4 linked regions of the Oryctolagus cuniculus genome follow. The protein of the gene in region 3 interacts with the protein of the main gene of each other region in a biochemical or structural test. Links are inferred from orthologs where the notes say so. Each region holds a gene or a part of one and is shown on either strand. Other genes may lie near its edges.

Region 1 (4,430 bases), on a different chromosome or scaffold from region 3:
GCGCCGGCATCCCATATAGGGGCCAGTTCAAGTCCTGGCTGCTCTACTTCCAATCTAACTCCCTGCTAATGCATGTGGGAAATCAGCATAAGATGGCCCAAGTCCTTGGGCCCCTACACCCACATGGGAGACCTGAAAGAAGCTCCAGGCTCCTGGCTTTGTATCCGCCCAGCTTCAGCTGTTATGGCTGTTTGGGGAGTGAACCAGCAGATGCAAGAACTCTCTCTCTCTCTCTGCCTCTGTCTCTCTGTGACTCTATCTTTCAAATAAATGAATAGATTTTTTTTAAAAAAAATGTAATGCAAATCTAATCTGTGTATTGGGAAGAAAAGCTAGATCTGTTGCATAGTGTTTATTTATGTGACTTCTCAAAGGAGAATACACAAGAATGATACTGGATCGCACCTACTAGATATTGTGTATTTTAGCTTCAGTGTCTGTAAGGCCTCTCTTTCAAAGGTGGGATATAGAAAGGCTAGTTCTTCAGTTTCTTAGGATGTTACTAACACTATGAACAATACAAGCAGGTGGAGGAGAAGAGTGCTTTAATGAAAACTTGAGCTCTTTTCTGAACTCTGTACCAGCATTACCCTTTTCTTGTTTAGAATAAAAGTATTTCACTTTCTCTAATGTGTAACCTGGACAACTGGCATATTTCTAAAATGTTTCCTGTGTTTATTAGGCACATGACTTTTAATTTGTTATTTTCCTTAACTAGACTCTATTACCTTACTGCTTTTCCAGAAGAACGTTGTACAACCAAGAATTAATTTCAGTAGTCTCTTAAAGTGCTTGTCTTGCAGCAGTGCCTTTCTTCTTAAAGTAGGGTGACCACCTTCCCGTTTTAAAGAGCACTTCAGGGCCGGTGTTGTGGCGTAGCAGGTAAAGCTGCCCCTGACACGCTGGAATCCATATAGGCATCCATTCAAGTCTCAGTTGCCCCACTTCCCATCCAGCTCCTTGCTAAAGTGCCTGGGAAATCATGGAAGGATGCCCCATGTTCTTGGGCTCCTGCACCAATGTGGGAGACCTGGAAGAAGCTCCTGGCTCCTGGCTTTGGATTGGCCCAATCCCAGCCATTGTGGCCATTTGGGGAGTAAACCAGCAGATGGAAGATCTCTGTCTCTCCCCCTCTCACTCTGTAACTCTTTCAAATAAAATAAATAAATCTAAAAAAAAAAAACAAAAAAAAAAAACAAAAAAACACACACTTCAGTAGAAGTCCTAAAACCTGTTTTATGTGCATCTTTGGTACTAACTAGCATTAAATATCCAATTAGTCTTTTTCAGCTATCTGTGGGATAGATAAATAAAAGTGGGTTTTATCTTGTCTTCATAAGAAATACCTAAATTCCATAAGTCTACCCTCTTTGTTTTGCTCAAAGCTTTGTTTCCTTGTTCTTGTAGGATACCCACATTTCCATTTCTTTGCCTGATAAAGTTTTGATTCATCATGGATAATCTGACATCAGAAGAAATTCAGCTGAGGGCTCACCAGGTTACTGATGAGGTAAATGCTTTATTGAGAATAAGTAATCCTGTTGCAGTTTTCACGGCGCAGGGTCTTCCTAGTCCCTTTGTGTCAAAGAATGAATTTGCCCCTCAGTGGCATTCATTGCTCATTGCTTTTCATCAACTCACCAGAAACACTAAGTAAGGGAAGATAATTCGCATGGTTTTTCCAGATAGTCATTGCTTAACAGTTACTCACAACAAAGATACTCTAAATTTGAAGAATTCTGGATTTTTTATTTATTTCCTACTATCTGTGTAATATTCTTAGAGTTCTGTCTTCATCAAATTTTTATGAACCCCTTTAAGTGTACCATCCTAATTTTCTTTTAAGAAGGACTTGATAAGAATAACTGAAAATACAGTGACCAGTTTTCTTGATTTTGTTTTAAAGGGAGGGATGGGCTAGTGATTTTTAAACAGAATAACGTTCTGAATATAGTCTGTGTTTTTTTTTTTTTTTTTTTTTGGCTACATATTTTGAAATGTTTAAACTAAAACTGTATTTTTTTCCTAGTCTCTGGAAAGTACAAGGAGAATCCTGGGTTTAGCCATTGAGGTAAGAAAGTGTTTAATCATCAAGTTAAATACAGAAGTTTATAGGAGGGATCCTGATAGCACTAGCTGGAGTTGCTGCTAAAGCACATTCTATCAATATACTTTATTATTTGAAACCTGCAATTACTGAAATTGTCAAACCATGTGCTAACTGGCCTTTTCTGCTTTTCCCTTTGTGATGGTATTGGAATATGCTTGGAAAGATGAATTAATTTTAAGTTTTTGACTTAATTATTTTTGGATATTATGTTGAAGTGTGTTGATTTAAGAATGCTAGTTCTGGCCGGCACCGCGGCTCAGTAGGCTAATCCTCCGCCTTGCGGCGCTGGCACAGCGGGTTCTAGTCCCGGTCAAGGCGCCGGATTCTGTCCTGGTTGCCCCTCTTCCAGGCCAGCTCTCTGCTGTGGCCTGGGAGTGCAGTGGAGGGTGGCCCAAGTGCTTGGGCCCTGCACCCCATGGGAGACCAGGAGAAGCACCTGGCTCCTGCCTTTGGATCAGCGCGGTGCGCCGGCCGTGGCGGCCATTGGAGGGTGAACCAATGGCAAAAGGAAGACCTTTCTCTCTGTCTCTCTCTCTCTCTCACTGTCCACTCTGCCTGTCAAAAAAAAAAGAATGCTAGTTCTATCTGTAGCTTCGATCCTCTGAGGATGAATTTCCAAATGATTCTAGTCTTGCTATTTGTCAGCCCTTTTAAGGTCTTATTTCTGTTGGTTTAGGGTATTTAATTAATTAATTTATTTTTTACTATTGGTATTTTCCCTCTTTGTTTTAGTCTCAGGATGCAGGAATCAAGACCATCACTATGCTGGATGAACAAGGGGGTGAGTTAAAGTTACTGACAGAAATTCTTAAATTGATTTACAATGCCAAAATGTTCTATCAAATCAGCCCTGTATAGATTTTCCTTTGGGAATGCCTTAACTTTGTAAGATGAGTGATGTGTTTACTTCTGATTTGAATGACATCATGTTTATTGCCTGGTTAGCACAGGGGGCAGTGACCAACTATATACCAAGTATGTGTTAGGCCAGCATGGCTTATTGTGTGCATCAGGCCTCTATGCATTCTTACTTCACCCTAGAAATCAAAGTTAAGTCCTAAAACCGATTTAGATTCAGATTAACTTGGGAACATTTGATTTGAGTTGGCCTTGAGAAATCTCATCTGTTTTTGATTAGTCTTGTGGTCACCTCAAGTTTCAAGCATAATAAGTGATAGGAATGCTGGGGATCTGATGTGGTCAGAGTACACTTGCTTGCATTGGGAGGGTGCTAAATCTTCACATGCTCCTGGTGTACAGATTTCTTTAGAATAGATCCTTCCACAATTATAAGCCATTGTCAGTATGGGTGTAAGAGTGTCTTCATGTTGAACATTTTGTAATATCTTCTGACACTGATAGATTTATTCTTTGTGGTATAGTATTGGTAGATTTGAAGTTGAAGTTTGCTATTCCACTATGGCGTTTTCTTGTTGATACTGTAACAGAAAATGTACCTTCAACACTTTATTCTTAGAACAACTAAACCGCATAGAAGAAGGCATGGACCAGATAAATAAAGACATGAGAGAGGCAGAGAAGACCTTAACAGAACTCAACAAGTGCTGTGGCCTTTGTGTCTGCCCATGTAATAGGTGAGTGGATAAATCAAGTTTTTTTCAAAATCAGTAAATGAGAGCATCTCCTCCCAAGTAAGGTTAGAAGTATGACTGGACCTAGATGAGGATGTTTGTTAGGTAAACTTAAAATATTTCTTCTTTTGGCAGATTGAGTGCTTCATGCGAATAGCTATGTTCATTGAAAACCATGGCTTACTTTTGGCCAATACTGGGAGCGATTTCCAATTTTAATTTGTAGTAAAATACAAAAATTTTGGAAAATACGTATTTGAACGATACAGAGCTGGATGGGGTTAGTGTCTTTCGTTTCAAACAAGGGAAGTTAATAAAACTCGAGTATGTGTTCTGTGATAGGCTCCTGAGAGATGGCTAAAGGAATAAAGGACTTGGGCCTTGTTTTCAAAAGACTGCTATGTTGTTGGGCGTATGAAGAAAAAACAGAAAATATGTAAATCTAGTGTTAGCTCATATGATATCAATTAAGTATAGGGGGAAAGGTGATAAAGGTTGGGCTGGAGAACATCTTACAGAAGAGGTGGCAGATGAGTTAGGCTTTCAGTGATTAGCAGGAATTTGGATGAACCTGAGAAATAGGGAGGGCATTTTGCTATGTAAGATTCAAAGGAAACAAGGATTAAGGAAGCTGCCAAGCTGAGGAATTGATAGGTTAGAGTGGAGTATATGATTATATAACCAGGAGACTAGTTAAAAACTTACTGTATTCTAGGCCAGTGAGGTTG
Region 2 (4,300 bases), on a different chromosome or scaffold from region 3:
TGCTGCCGGGTGGACTCCATGCTTGTGGGAGGCAGCATGGCGAGAGAGAAGCTAGTGTGGCCCTCTCAACCAGTGTTTTGCAGGACCCCAGAATAGATGCAAGGGGATGGGGGTGTGCCACAGTCAGCGAGTGGCAGCCCTGCGGTCAGAGAGATGAGGGGAGAGGCCAGGGCTGGAGAGAAGGTGGCCAGGGCCCCAAGTGCAGGGCCTTTGCAAAACAGGGCAGGTGGCCAGCACGTGGCAGTGGGGGAGGGGGAGGCGAAAGTCCTTGAGGGCTGGGCTGGGGTTGGCTGTAGGGGAGGCCGCTGGGGCAGCCCTCAGATTTCCAGATCGGGCAGGGTCTGCAGGTGCGCTGTGGTGCAGTGGGTTAAGCTGCTGCCTGTGAAGGCTACATCCCATATGAGTGCTGGTTGCAATCCTGGCTGCTCCACTTCTAATCCAGCTCCCTGCTAACGTGCCTGGGAAAGCAGTGGAGGATGGCCCAAGTGCTTGGGCCCCTGGGAGACTCACATGAAGCTCCTGGCTCAACAGACCTGGTGTTGCGGCCATCTGGGGAGTGAACCTGAGGATAGCAGATCTCTCTTAACTCTGCCTATCAAATACATAAAATAAAAAAATCCTTGCAGACCTAGAAGGAGGAAGAAGACTGGGGCTGTGCTGCTGCCCGGAGCAGCCTGCAGATCCTGCTTCCCTGTCACCTGTTCCCCATCTGTCCATGCACCCCCTGGCCACGGTCTCCGTGGCCCACCACACCTGTCCCAGGAGCAGGCCTCAGGTAGAGCAGCCCTCCCCCAGCCCCCAGCTCAGCAGGCAGGGAGGGGGCAGGCAGGCGGCTGCCTGGTCACAGGGACCACAGGGAGAGGGGAGGGGGCCGCAAAAGAAAAGCTTAGAAGGTGATCCAAGGAGGGCCCAGGGAGGAGAGGGAGCGGAGCGAGAGGGAGAAGGGGGGAGCGGCAGACGGAGGAGGGGGGAGGGGAGGAGGGGGGAGAAAGAGAAGGAGGAGGTGAGAGGAGGTGGGAGGGGAGGGGTTGGGAGAAGGGGGTAGAGATAAGGGGAAGGAGGGGGGAGGTGGGGGTAGAGGGAAGGGAGTGGAAGTGAGAGGAGGGGGAGGTGGGAGGAGAAGGATCTAGGAGGGGGAGGTGGGAGGCTAGGGACCGGTGGCAGGCTGGGAAGCTCTGAGGCGGCGGCGGCGGCGGCGGCGCGGGCAAGCCCCTCCCCCGGCGGGGCGGGCTCCCCGAGCCGGCCCCGCCCCCACCGCGCCGGCCTCGCCTTCGTCCTAGCTGCCCCGCGTCCCTCCTCCCGCCCTCGGAAGAGCGAGCGAGCGGCGAGGTTCCGGGCGAGCTGTGTCGAGCCCAGGAGCCGAGGAGCGGGGAACGCAGGCGTCCCGAGCCCGGAGCGGCCCCGCGCACCGGAGCGGCCGAGGCTCCCCGCGCAGCGCCCGCCGCGGGCCGCGCAGCCCCGGCCGCAGGTAGGAACGCGCGGCCGGCGTCGGGGCGCGGAGGACGCAGGGACTGCCCGGGCGGGACGCGCCCGAGCCCCGAGCCCCGAGCCCCTGCCGCGGGCTGGGCTGGGCGGGTGGGGGGCGGGCACCCCAAGACTCCGGCCCATCGCGTCGCCCCTGGCTTGTGACCCAGCGTGTGCCCGCACGAGGGGCGCGGTGACCGCATACCCCCGCCCGGTGGCGGTACCCCTCGGACCGCCGAGCAGGCGTGGATTCCGCTGCAGCCGTCGAAGCGCCCTGCGCGGTCCCAGGGGGTGGTGGGCGCGGGGAGTGAAGGTGGCAGCTGCGTTCGGGTGGCCGGGAGCCGCTGCCCGGGGCTCGGGCCGGCCGAGCCCACCTGGGGGCGCGCCATTTATCCCGGGAGGGCTTCAGCCGGGCAGAGCAGCGCCTTTGCGTTCTGGGACAGCTCCAGCTCGCCGGAATCCGGAGCCGAGCGCACCAGCGCGCGCGCCGCGTCCGCCCTACTTTCCCCTGGGGCTGTGAGCTCCCTGCGTGCGGGCTGGAGTTCTTGTGTCCGCTTGCCAGCCCGGGAGGCCACCCTCCCTATCTTGCCTTTCGTCCCCGGCGTGAGAAAAAGGGACGACGATGCCTGCCTTAGTTGCCCTGACCAGCAGCGGTCCATGCGCAGACCCCTTGTGCGCGCCCGTTTCCGCTGGTGGCACCCGCAGATGTCCTTTGCTACGCTTGGCTCGGTCTTCAGGTGAGGATCTCAGACCTGGCAGCTCCTGCACAGAGGCTCTGAGCTAAGACCCTCCCCCTGTAGACGTGAACCCCGAAGGAGAAAATTGGATTAAAAAAAAAAAAAGCCAAATAACAGCCCTCTTGCCAGTGAGGGGCTGAAGCACCTGCTCCGGCTCCCAGAAAGCTCATCCTTAAGAGGCAGGAGAGGGGGGCATAAGGGGTGGATAAAATGACGCCTGAGCTTTGGTGACAACCCAGATCAGACCGTGTCGCCTGCGTGGAATTTGGGGCCAACCTTTGTTTTTCTGCGGCATGCAGGTGGGTGTTTGGAGAAGGAGAGGGGATGTCTGGTGCTGGACAAGGCTTAGACTCTCTCTCAGGGTCCCCTGGGGGCAATGTATTCATGGGGGAATGCCTTCAAACAGTTACAAAACAAATATGGGGACTGGGGACCCACAGGCATCCTGGGAGCTGGCTCCAGCTCTCTCTCTGTGTAGAACTCTGGGAAGCCTTGAGCCAGTGGCCATCCGGTTGGAGCGCCTCCCAGGCGGAGGGAGGGCGGGAGGAGAACTTGCCCTCAGAGGTGTGAGTCCCTGGGGGAGGGAGAGGGGGAGAGGGGGAGAGGGAGGGCCCCGCCCCAGAGCAGCGGGGCAAAATGGCTGAGCCTCCCTGGCCTCAAATAAATCATCAGGCACACAGCAAACAAAGGGAGCGCTCTGTCTCCAGCCAAGCGCTGGCCCCGTGGCCAGTCCTCGGAGGGCAGACAGTGAGTCCCAGGGAGAGGCGGCGTCTGAGTGCAGGGCTTCCCTGGGAGCCACACAGGGAGGCAAATCAGGGCCTCCTCTCGCCAGGACCGCAGGTTTGCCGAGAAGTGGGTCCCCGGGAACTCGGGTGAGGGTGGGAGGGTAGAGGGTGAAGACGAGGCAAGTCGCGTTCATCTGACCTAAGCGAGCCGCCCGACAGCCTGGCTGCCCCGGGCACCCCGGGGCTCACACGCCTGGCAGCCCCGGAACGTCGAATGCTGTGTGTGTGTTTGCGCATGGCCCAGCACGCAGCAGGAACTCAACAGATGCTTTAGAGTGAAAACGGTGCTTGCAAGGACCCACCTGCCTTTCTTCCTGTCTGCTCGAGCCAGGAGGGCCGCAGGCCGGGGCCTCTGTGTCCCTGGCTGGGGCCGAGTGAGCTCTGGCCAAGGGTTTGCTTTGAGACGGGCACTGCCATTTCTTGGTTAGGTGACCTTGGGGATATGTTCTCATTCCGCTCGGAGGGAAGGGAGCAGTGAAATCCCCCACGGTGCCCGGCTCCTCATCCCTGCGGTGACCCGGCGCAGCCCATGCTGCTCTGGCCTCCACTTCAGAAGGCGGAGGACTGAGAGAGATCGGGAAGTGACTTGCCCAAGGGCGCATAGCTGGCAGGAGGCTGGGCCAGGATCTGCCCCGCGCTGTGATGCACTTGCTTGCAGGCCTCAGGCCTTGCTTCTCCTCTGTGAAGTGAGGAGGTAGGTTTGGGGCACCGAGGATGGGATTTAGAGTTGACAGTGAGGCCCCGTGGGTTTGCCTTGTTCCTCTGCCTTTGCTGGCACGAGATGTGCAGGAGCCACATCAAGTCAAGCACCAGTGTCGGGCGGCTTCTTGCCCGTGCCACAAAGACGCCGTTCCTCTTGCTTTCGGGAGACACAGGCACAGAGCCAGCCCCAGAAGCTGCAGCCTTGCCCGCCGCCTCTGCCCTCCCTGTGCCTGTGCCGGCAGGCAGGTGAGAGCCCAGGCCGGCCCCTGCGGGCTGGCCCCAGGTGAGCCTCCCTTCCACTGATGCCAAACCCAGCCCCGCTGTGGCCTGGCTCCCCAAACGGGCACTGACACGTGAGTGTCGGCAGGCCTGTCGCACCGTGTCAGAGCTGCGCCTTCATTTCAGCCGTGCAGAGCCGCCGGCTGGAGAGCAGGGGGGCAGGGCGCAGACCCTGCTGCACTGGAAACAACCTTGAACTGACTCCAGGTGCGGGCTGCAACCCCTGCCCCACCCCAGCTGAGATGCATGGCTCTGTGGTGTGTGCCTTGTGCCCACTCCCCACGTGGGTCGGGCACACATGGAGGTCGGGCACACGTGGAGGTTGGGCACACC
Region 3 (4,410 bases):
AAGTCAATATCAAGTGCAGAGGCCCAGGGCTGATACAGGGGCTGGGCCTCCAGGAAGGAGGGCGCTCAAAGCCCTCACCCCCACCCCCACCCCCCACCAGGCCTGCTACATCAGCTCCCTGCTTAGCACAGGCTGCCCCTTCGCAAGGTCCCAAGAGCATGGGGGCGGCAGCTTCGGGTCCGGGGAAAAGGCACCGGGCTGTGCTGTGTGACCTCAGATGAACCCGTGGCCCTTTCTGAACCTGGCTTTTCTGATCCGTAGGCTAGGCGGTGAGACCAGCCGGTCCCCAATGGCACCGTCTCTCCGCAGCCAGATCCTACTTCATTCTGGGAAGCCGCGGGGAAGGAGAGGGGGGTGTCGGGAGACCCTGCCCCGTGCCTGCTCTGCGAGGCTCCACTGGACAGGTGCAGAACCGACCAGACCTGCCTGGTGCTGCCCCCCACTGCGGCCTCTTGACCTGCCCTGAGAGGCGTGGGGAGGGGGGGAGCCGGGCCCCTTTCTGGACCTCAGGGGCATCCTCCATCCCCTCGGCTTGGGCTCCTCCTCCTCCTTGGGACCATCCCAAGTTTTCCTCCTCCAGGAAGCCTGCCAGGCATGCAGGTGAACTCCTTTCTGGACCGGAGGAGGGGTGTGGAGCAGCTCCAGTAAAGCCCCAGAAAGAAAATCAGGGAGGCTTCTAAGTGTAAGGGGACATCCTACCCTGAAAGTGCCCACCCCACCCGGGGCTGTGTGGCTTCCCTGCACCCCCAGGAAGGCCTCTCTGACCTGAGGCCTTGGTCTCAGGGGCTGAAGCCCCACACTGGCCCCGCTCCCACAGCCCTCTTCACTCTCCCCCTGCAGAATGGAAAGGAACCTCAGAGAGAGAGGCAGGCGGGGGCAGGAGGAGGCTGGAGGGCTGAGCCCGGCCCGCGGAGCACGGAGGAAGCACGCCAGCTCCTTCCCCAAGTGTGACTTTTATAAATAAGCTCCCTTCGCCTTCCTTCCAAATGTGGTGGCGATGTTGGGTGAGCGAGGAGGAGGAGGAGGAGGAGGGCGGGCTGGGGGTGGCGCACAGCCACGTCCTGAACCCCAGCTCCGGCCAGCCCAGCCAGTGCCGCTCCTCATTTCTGAGCTGCAAATCCTGATTCCTGGAGTTCAAGGTCTCCCCCAGAATGTGCAGCCATAGGTCCAACACCTGTGGCTGCACCTCGCCCCCAGAGCTGGGGTTTCCTCGTGGAAAACCCTTCAAAACTGCAGCCCACCCAGTGCGAGCTCTGGCCAGCCGCCCCTTGTCCCTTGCCTCTCGCCCCACCCCCTCGAGGCTGTTAGAAACTGGAGGACAGCGACCAGGGGCTGGTGGGAGGTCTATGCCTGCAGGGAAAACATCAGATAACTCAGAGCAAGCCAGGCTCGCCAGCCAGGGCTCAGGCAGGTGTGTGTGTGTGTGTGTGTGTGTGTGTACACGTGGACTGGGGACAGGGACTCACATCACAGACAACTTCTGGGTCCCTGCTTCTCACCACTCAAGCTCTCCTGGGGCCCCCCAGTCCCAGCCACCAGGCCAAGTCCCTCCCCACACCCCGTTGCCTCCAGCAGGCAGCCCCCCCCACCCCGTCTCCTTGTGCCTCGGTTTCCCTTCCAGCATAGGGACAAGCCAGAGGCTCCCCTGCACCCTCATCGGACCCAAGGGACACGCAAGCAGGAGCAGGCGCTTCACGCAGCCAACCCTCGCCACGCCGGTGCCCCCACCGACTTGCCGCATCACAGGAACCTTGAGAGCAACCGAAAGGGCTGGGGGGAAGTGTCCGGGGACCAAGGACCGCAGGAGGGACCGGCTGCTTCCTTGGAAACCCCACGGGATTTGCCCCTGGGGCTGGGCGCTCGGCCAGGAATGACACAGATCTGGAGGCCAGGCAGGTGGGGTGGGTGGGGGGCACGGACTGGTGTGCAGGGGGTGGTCGCTAGCCGGGGCATCAGAGGAGACCCAAGCCAGTCTTGAGCCCCCCATTACATGACCCCATTTCCTTCACTGCCCCCCAGGGGCCCTCCCCGCCATCTCCAAAGGCAGAGGCGGCTTTGAGGGTGAGGAGCAGCAGGGCAGAAGTCCTGATCCGGGCTGAAAGAGGTGGGCGCCGACCCAGAACCTTGCCCCGGAACCCCGCCCCAGGAGCCACAGCCCAGGGGCCTCGGAGACACAGGTGGAAAAATAAGATCCAGGTGGGAGTCGCACCGCGGAGCCCCGGAAGGTGGACTAGGTGGGTGGGTGGGTGGGGTGGGTGCGATCCCTCGCAGCCCCAGGGCGCCCAGAGACAGGGTCCCGACCGCGCCCGGGCAGGACAGGGAGCCACAGGTGATGGGAGCCACAGGTGATGGGGGAGGGGCGGCGCCCGGGCACCGTCCCCGGCGGGTGTCCCCCCGCGGTCCCGGCGCGCGTTCACACGGCGGGGTCAGCGGAGTGTGCAGGGGGTGGCGATGCGGGCGGGATCGGCTCCGCGGGCGCCGTCCCGCCACCGCCACCCCGATAACCCTCCGACTCCCCCCAGGCACCGGGAGCCGCAAAGTTTGTCCAGGACCCCGGGCTCCGGCCGCCAGCCCGCCGGCCGAGGCGTCCGGGCGCGCGGGAGCCGGGGACCCCCGAAGGGTTTCGAAGGGGCGGGACGAGCAGGGGGCTCAGGGTTCCCCCCTCCCCGGCCGGGGGCGCAGGGGCCGCGGGAGGCCGGGGGCTGGAGGCAGCCGGGGCGCTGGCGCTGGCGCGGGCGAGGAGCGGCCGCGCGCGGGGCCGCACTCACCGTGCGGAGCTCCTGGGTTCGGTCCTTCATGCTCCCGGGAGTGGCAGCGGCACCGGCTGCAGCCCTGTGAGCCCCGCATGCGCGGCGGCCGCCCCGCGGCTGCGCAGCGCCAGCGCGGCCCCGCCCCGGCCCCCGGGACCCCGGCCCGGCCCCGCCCCGCCCCGCCCCACCCTCCCAGAGCCCGGGGGCCCTGGGCTTTTGTCCCAGCTGGGACCTGGACGCTGGATCCCCTGCGGCCTCCCCGGCCTCGGCCCCGACCACCTCCCCACTCTGCACCCCGGACCTGGGCCCCTAGTCTCCCCCGCTCAGTGAGCCCTTCCAGCTGCGGTTGGAACTCCGTGCAGCAGCCCCCTGCCCAAACCCCGCCCCCGACGCGGGGCCCCGGCCCCTCCCACTGGTCACACCACCTCGTGCAGACTCAGCCTCTGCCCCAGGATCTCTCGGTTCACGAGTGCGGGCGACCCCCACCCCCAACTCACCCTTGCGTTGGCTGTTCCAGCAGGATGCAGGAACCCCTCGATCCTTGGGGGGCGATGGTTTTTTTTTTTTTTTTTTGCTTTCTTTTTTTTTAAGGTTTATTTATTTGACAGAGTTACAGAGAGACAGAGGCAGAGAGAGAGGTCTTCCATCCGCTGGTTCACTCCCCAGATGACCGCAATGGCCGGAGCTGTGCCAATCCGAAGCCAGGAGCCAGGAGCTTCTTCCAGGTCTCCCACGTGGGTGCAGGGGCCCCAAGCACTTGGGCCATCTTCTGCTGCTTTCCCAGGCCATAGCAGAGAGCTGGATTGGAAGTGGAGCAGCCGGGACTCGAACCAGCGACCATATGGGATGCCGGCGCTGCAGGCGGCCGCTTTACCTGCTACACCAAGCACCGGCCCCAGGCCCAATAGCACTTCCTCTCCTTTCCCTTCCTCTTTCCCTGCATCTCCTGCCCTGAGCTCCAGCTGTGGGCCTGAAGACCCCATTGCCTGTCCACAAGCCGGGGCCGCTGGGCCTGGGACGAGCAGCACCTGGGGAGGGGCGGAGAGGGGCTGGTTAGTCACAGATGCTCCCTCCAGGGCTCTGTCTCTCCTTGTGACAGCATCCCAGTGGCGGCCCCCGGCTGGAATGGCCCAGACCCTCGACCCCAAGCCAAGCACGCGCCCCTTTTCCCTCTCCCCAGGACCGCCAAGGCTCTGCTCTGGAGCCAGCCCAGCCCCCGCTGCCTGGTGAGCCTGGCGCCTGTCCCAGACTGAGGGCACAGGTGAGCTGGCTGGCAGGCGGAGTGGGGGCAGCATGCCAGCCTTCGCTTCTTCCCGGACAAGCTGGCCTCTGATGTGGTCTGGCCTGGGAGACAGACGCACTGCTTGCGAAAAGCTGTCCAGGCTTCAACCGTGAGTGCTCCAAAGGCCGCGCTTGTCAGAGGAGAAGCGAAGACTCACCTGCTACAGGCACTTGCTCTGGGTGACGGGGCCCAGTGGCGGGGGAGGCGCCTGGCTCCGGGGACAGCGAGCCTGCAGCCCCAGAGCCCAGCGCCTGGCTCTTTGGGGAAAAGGGGAGACACTGCACCTGCCCCCAGAGATGGAGGCACATATTAAAGCAGTAGTACGAAAAATGAACAGAGGAATATATGCAGGCCTGTCACCTTGAACTCTGCTCTTTC
Region 4 (4,466 bases), on a different chromosome or scaffold from region 3:
CACTCGTCGTTGATTTGCTGAATGCTTTGAAGAGAGGTCACTTCAGCCAATCGTTTGAGGAGAATTACAGGGCCCGGGGCAGGAGAGGACCAATCCCAAAATGTGGGCGGGCACTTGATTTCGGTTCGGAACAGAAAACAACCCCGAGAAGCTGTTGTGTGTCTTTTCGCAGGACCGCAGGGAGAGGAGTTATTAGCCCATAGATCGTCCGTCCTCCCCGCATCTCCCAAGTTGGAGCTCCTCTTTGTTTCCCTCCCTCATGTCTCTTATTTTCCACGCCCTGCAGCCCCTCTGCTTCCCACCGCCCTTCCTCAGTGAACGCATTGTGCGGGGGGTATCTGTCAGCCTCTCCCGACTTGACCCAGACGGTGTCTCCCGGCCTCCGAGGAGCGGAAACTTCATCCAGTCTCCCTCTCCACAGTGGAGAGCACACCGGGCGTTACTGACAGGACCTCAGCGTTAACAGCGCGCACCCGGGTCCCGAAAATGAGCGGCAGCACGGGGTCCCCGCCGCCGGGCGGGCCGGGGGCTCGGGTGGCGAGGCGGGTCGCGGGTCGGCCCAGCAGCTGTCTGCCGCCGCCAGACGCGCTCCACCCCCGGGAGCCGCCTCGGGGGCAGAGTCCGCGTTTTCCCTCTAGGCTCCGCTTCTCCCCCAGTACCTCGCCGCGTCTGCCATCCTCTCGCCCCTGACATAATCGTCGCCAAGACGCTGGCAAAACCTAAACCCCAATCAATCCCACACAAAGCCCACCAAAAATAAAGCAGCAAGAATGGTCTTGCAGCCCCGGGCCGCGGGGTGGGGGTGGGCGGGGAGGACCAGTGTTTCATTAGCGGGTGAACGCTCAAACCCCCGCTTTCCTCATCGAATCCGAAATGAAGCTCTTCTTGCGGCTTGTTAGTCGTCAACACTTTTACTATGCCAGTTGCAGAAGCAGCAGCTGCACACTCTGGCAGCGCCATCGCGGAGGCAGAAATTTAGCCAGCGTCTGGGATTTGCGAGGAGGATAATTTAAGCCCCGGCTTCGCTCCGGCTGGGGGCTTTGGGGCTGGGGGGCAAAAAGGGGGTGGAGGTGGCGGGGGGGGGGGGGGAGGCTGCGGCGCGTGTGCGCATGCCCAGCAGCCCCGCTCCGCGGAGGCCCAGCTGCCGCCGCCGCCGTCACCGCCACCGCCACCGCCGGCGCTGTAACCGCGGCTGCCGCCGCTGCTCCGGCCGGGGGTCGGTGCCGTGTGCCGAGGCGCCCTGTCAGGCGAGAGGGAGCGGCCGGGAGGGGAGAGCCGGAGGCGGCGGCGGCGCCTCGGGGAGGCAGCCGGGGCTCTGAAGAAGCGAGGGCAGGCCGGTCCAGCGGCAGAGGAGCGAGGCGGAGCGAGGCTGGCGGCGCGGGGACCCACCCCGGGCGCCTGGCGTGCGATGCCGGGCGGGCAGCGGCGCTGAGCGGCGGGGAGGCCGAGCGGCGGCCGCGGACCGAGAACCGTCGACCCCCGGGAAGAGGAGGAGGAGGAACAGGAGCGGGAAGGACGCGCCGAGGGGACTGCGGGGTCGGGGCGGGCGAGGAGTGGCGGGGCCGCGGGCCATGGACTCGGCGGGGGCGAGCCGGGGTGGCGGCGCGGCGCAGAGCCCGCCCGCGGCCAGGTGAGGCTGGGCAGAGCGGGCTCCGGGCGCCTCCGCCACTGCCGCCGCCGCCGGGCCGCGGAGCGAGGAGGCGGCCGCGGCGCCACAGCAGCCGCCCGGGAGGAAGAGGGGTCGCCGCGCGGTGTTCCCGCGGCCGCCGCGCTCTCGTCGTCGCAGTATTTCCTGTTCGGATTATCTTTTGCTTCCCCCCCCAACCCCCCAGCTGCCGCCTCTCCTTCCCCTCACACTCGCACTCTTCTGGGTCCGCGGTCGAAGCTGCCCTCGGCTCCGGCCCGTCCACCCCGCCGGGGACCCCCGGCGCCTGTCCTCCCGCCGAGACCATGAGGAAATTCAACATCAGGAAGGTGCTGGACGGGCTGACCGCCGGCTCGTCGTCGTCCTCGCAGCAGCAGCAGCAGCAGCAGCACCCGCCTGGGAACCGGGAGCCCGAGATCCAGGAAACGCTCCAGTCCGAGCACTTCCAGCTCTGCAAGGTGAGCCGGGCGCGCAGCCCCCGACGCCGTCTTGGGGAGTCGGGGTCGTTTTGGGGGGCGCTGACTTGGAAAGAGAGCGTCCGACAGCTTTAATAAAGGGCCGGCTCTACCGCTAGCAAATGCTTCCTGGGTGCGTTATTTTGGACATTGGATCTTACTCCTTTTCGCTGATTTTTTTTTTCCCTCCCTCTCTCGTTTTCACACGTAGCAGTCGGTTCAAGGTTGCTTCAGACGCATTATCTAACATTTAATTCGTATCCTGACAGTGCTGGCAATAATCTGAAAGCTTCTATAGCCAAGCATTTTAATGTAATTCACCAACTTCCAAGTTTCCCTTTGGAAACAGTGTCTAATGAATATTGTTTATCCAAAAGCCAAACCTGTTCAACCAGATCTTTGTTCATCACTTTTCCCTTAAAATGGATTGGAGGAGCTTACACTATGAAATCGCAGATTTTTTTTATCACTCTGTTTCTTTAAAGAGTTAGTACTGTTATTTTTGCCAATTAATGGCACACTGAGTGCCTTAGCATGCCGTAATTGAGAGAGAATGATGCAGCGAATTAATTCACCCACTGCTCAATGAGCACTACAAAGTTGTTTTGCAATTAATAGCTGCCTTCCTCTTAAACAGTCATGCCTTCCTTTGGAAGAGTTTCTTAAAGAGTAAATGTTTTGCCCCAAATCCCTGAAATTATTATTTGCTTAATAGTAAGTTGCAAAAAATATGAGTATATGTTGTACCCATTTTCGTTCTTTTACAGTTGAAAAATGTTGGGGTGGAGGCTTAGTAATTGCTTTAGCAATATTTTGGCAGAAGTAATTATATGGCAGCTTTTCCTAGGAAGTACTTGGATTTAGCATCCAAATAAAGTAATGATAAAGTGATTGCTCTTGAAAACAAATTTACAGAATTTTATACCTCTGCAGACTTTTATAATTTGGTGTCAGACTTAATATGAATATTAATGAGAATTTTCTTCTACCAGTGTTAAGGAAAAGCAGAATGTAATGTGTCACACTGAGGTGTTTGTTTATTTCAGGTTCCATGTGAATTACTTTGTTAAGGTAGATTCCATTTTAAAAAAATTGTAAAGCAGTAAGTGCATGTGTATGTGTTCGATTAGATTATACAGTTGTTTCTGAATTCTAATGCCTCTGTTGACATTTCTATTTTTAAATTTTGCTTGCTGCCTTGGTTGCTGTGATGTCACCTGCCCATCCCTAGACTGTGCGCCATGGATTCCCCTATCAACCCTCAGCCCTGGCCTTTGATCCTGTACAGAAGATCCTGGCAGTGGGAACTCAGACTGGTGCTTTAAGGCTGTATCCTTTCTTTAATTTTATTTTTTAATTTTTACTCTGTGCCCCTTAGTCCTTCTGTGTTGCTGATAAGTTCCAAAGAAAATTTTCTTTTTTTGTTTAATTCCAAAGACAAGGTGTGGTGTTTGTTTTTCCCTTGATTATACTTACTTGTGCGTTGTATGTGGCCTTGATGTCTCTATGTTCAGTTTATAGTAGATAAATGTGTATCAAAATAGAAATGTAAAGTTTTGCTCTAGTTACTTTTTTTGCAACAGGCTAGACATTTCTGAGGGGAAATAGATGTGCTCATATACTAGTGGTCTATTGCAAAGGGTATGTTAAGGGAGAGTCATAAAGATAGTAGTACGATGTTCATTTTATTTGCTTCTTAAAATATTGTACATGGTGGACATTGAACTTAAGATGTGTGTTTTTCTAATGAATTATAGGTTCAATTTGAATTTGATTGTGGTTGTTTCCAACATGTCCATGTAGAAAAATCATTAGCAGAGAACAAATGCAATGATGCTCTATGAGTAGTTATGAAGGGTTAATATTTCTGCAAGTTTTAGAGGTTTTTTAGTGTAATGCGTAGGTATGAATGTGCTCTCTGCACAGTTTCCCTTTTATAGTCTACATTTGTTGTGTACATGTACAAACTATTAGGTTAGTTTTGCATTTAAGTGTTAGTATAGAAAAGAATCTTCCTGGATACGTGTTAACTATGATAATTTTATTATGAGCATTTTGTTAAATATTTTAAAAAATGTTTTTCAAGATCATTATTTTAGCCTGAACAATAGAGACTGCTTTTTACTTTCCTACTGTTCAGTTTGGAAATAAAATTTGTGTTTGCTTTCTCTATGACATTTAACCATATTTAATCTAAATACTCTTATTTTTAAAATTAAACAGAAAAAATGCTTTGTTCGGCCATCTGTAGGATATATACCTCCGTATATTATTGAGGAATTGTGCTGATAATGAACAGATAAAAAATTAGTAGGTGATCCCAGTAGACATTGTCAAAAAAATGGAAGTGGGTGAGAAGTTTTATC

What was found.
Region 1: the proteins of STX1A (region 3) and SNAP23 form a complex in vitro, tested with the Homo sapiens proteins (3 studies listed by BioGRID). The link is inferred for Oryctolagus cuniculus from reciprocal best matches to the Homo sapiens genes STX1A and SNAP23.
Region 2: the proteins of STX1A (region 3) and SLC6A1 form a complex in vitro, tested with the Homo sapiens proteins (2 studies listed by BioGRID). The link is inferred for Oryctolagus cuniculus from reciprocal best matches to the Homo sapiens genes STX1A and SLC6A1.
Region 4: the proteins of STX1A (region 3) and STXBP5 form a complex in vitro, tested with the Homo sapiens proteins (2 studies listed by BioGRID). The link is inferred for Oryctolagus cuniculus from reciprocal best matches to the Homo sapiens genes STX1A and STXBP5.

The regions. Positions count from the first base shown.
Region 1 is NC_091443.1:65,545,071-65,549,500, forward strand, and holds the start of SNAP23 (synaptosomal-associated protein 23), read left to right. Parts: upstream 1-1,453; coding exon 1,454-1,510; intron 1,511-2,029; coding exon 2,030-2,071; intron 2,072-2,842; coding exon 2,843-2,891; intron 2,892-3,587; coding exon 3,588-3,705; intron 3,706-4,430. UniProt on the Homo sapiens protein: Essential component of the high affinity receptor for the general membrane fusion machinery and an important regulator of transport vesicle docking and fusion.
Region 2 is NC_091441.1:116,029,643-116,033,942, reverse strand, and holds the start of SLC6A1 (sodium- and chloride-dependent GABA transporter 1), read left to right. Parts: upstream 1-1,278; 5' UTR 1,279-1,468; intron 1,469-4,300. UniProt on the Homo sapiens protein: Mediates transport of gamma-aminobutyric acid (GABA) together with sodium and chloride and is responsible for the reuptake of GABA from the synapse. The translocation of GABA, however, may also occur in the reverse direction leading to the release of GABA.
Region 3 is NC_091450.1:50,381,408-50,385,817, reverse strand, and holds the start of STX1A (syntaxin-1A), read right to left. Parts: upstream 2,881-4,410; 5' UTR 2,799-2,880; coding exon 2,769-2,798; intron 1-2,768. UniProt on the Homo sapiens protein: Plays an essential role in hormone and neurotransmitter calcium-dependent exocytosis and endocytosis.
Region 4 is NC_091436.1:20,863,315-20,867,780, reverse strand, and holds the start of STXBP5 (syntaxin-binding protein 5), read left to right. Parts: upstream 1-1,598; 5' UTR 1,599-1,950; coding exon 1,951-2,103; intron 2,104-3,331; coding exon 3,332-3,429; intron 3,430-4,466. UniProt on the Homo sapiens protein: Plays a regulatory role in calcium-dependent exocytosis and neurotransmitter release. Inhibits membrane fusion between transport vesicles and the plasma membrane.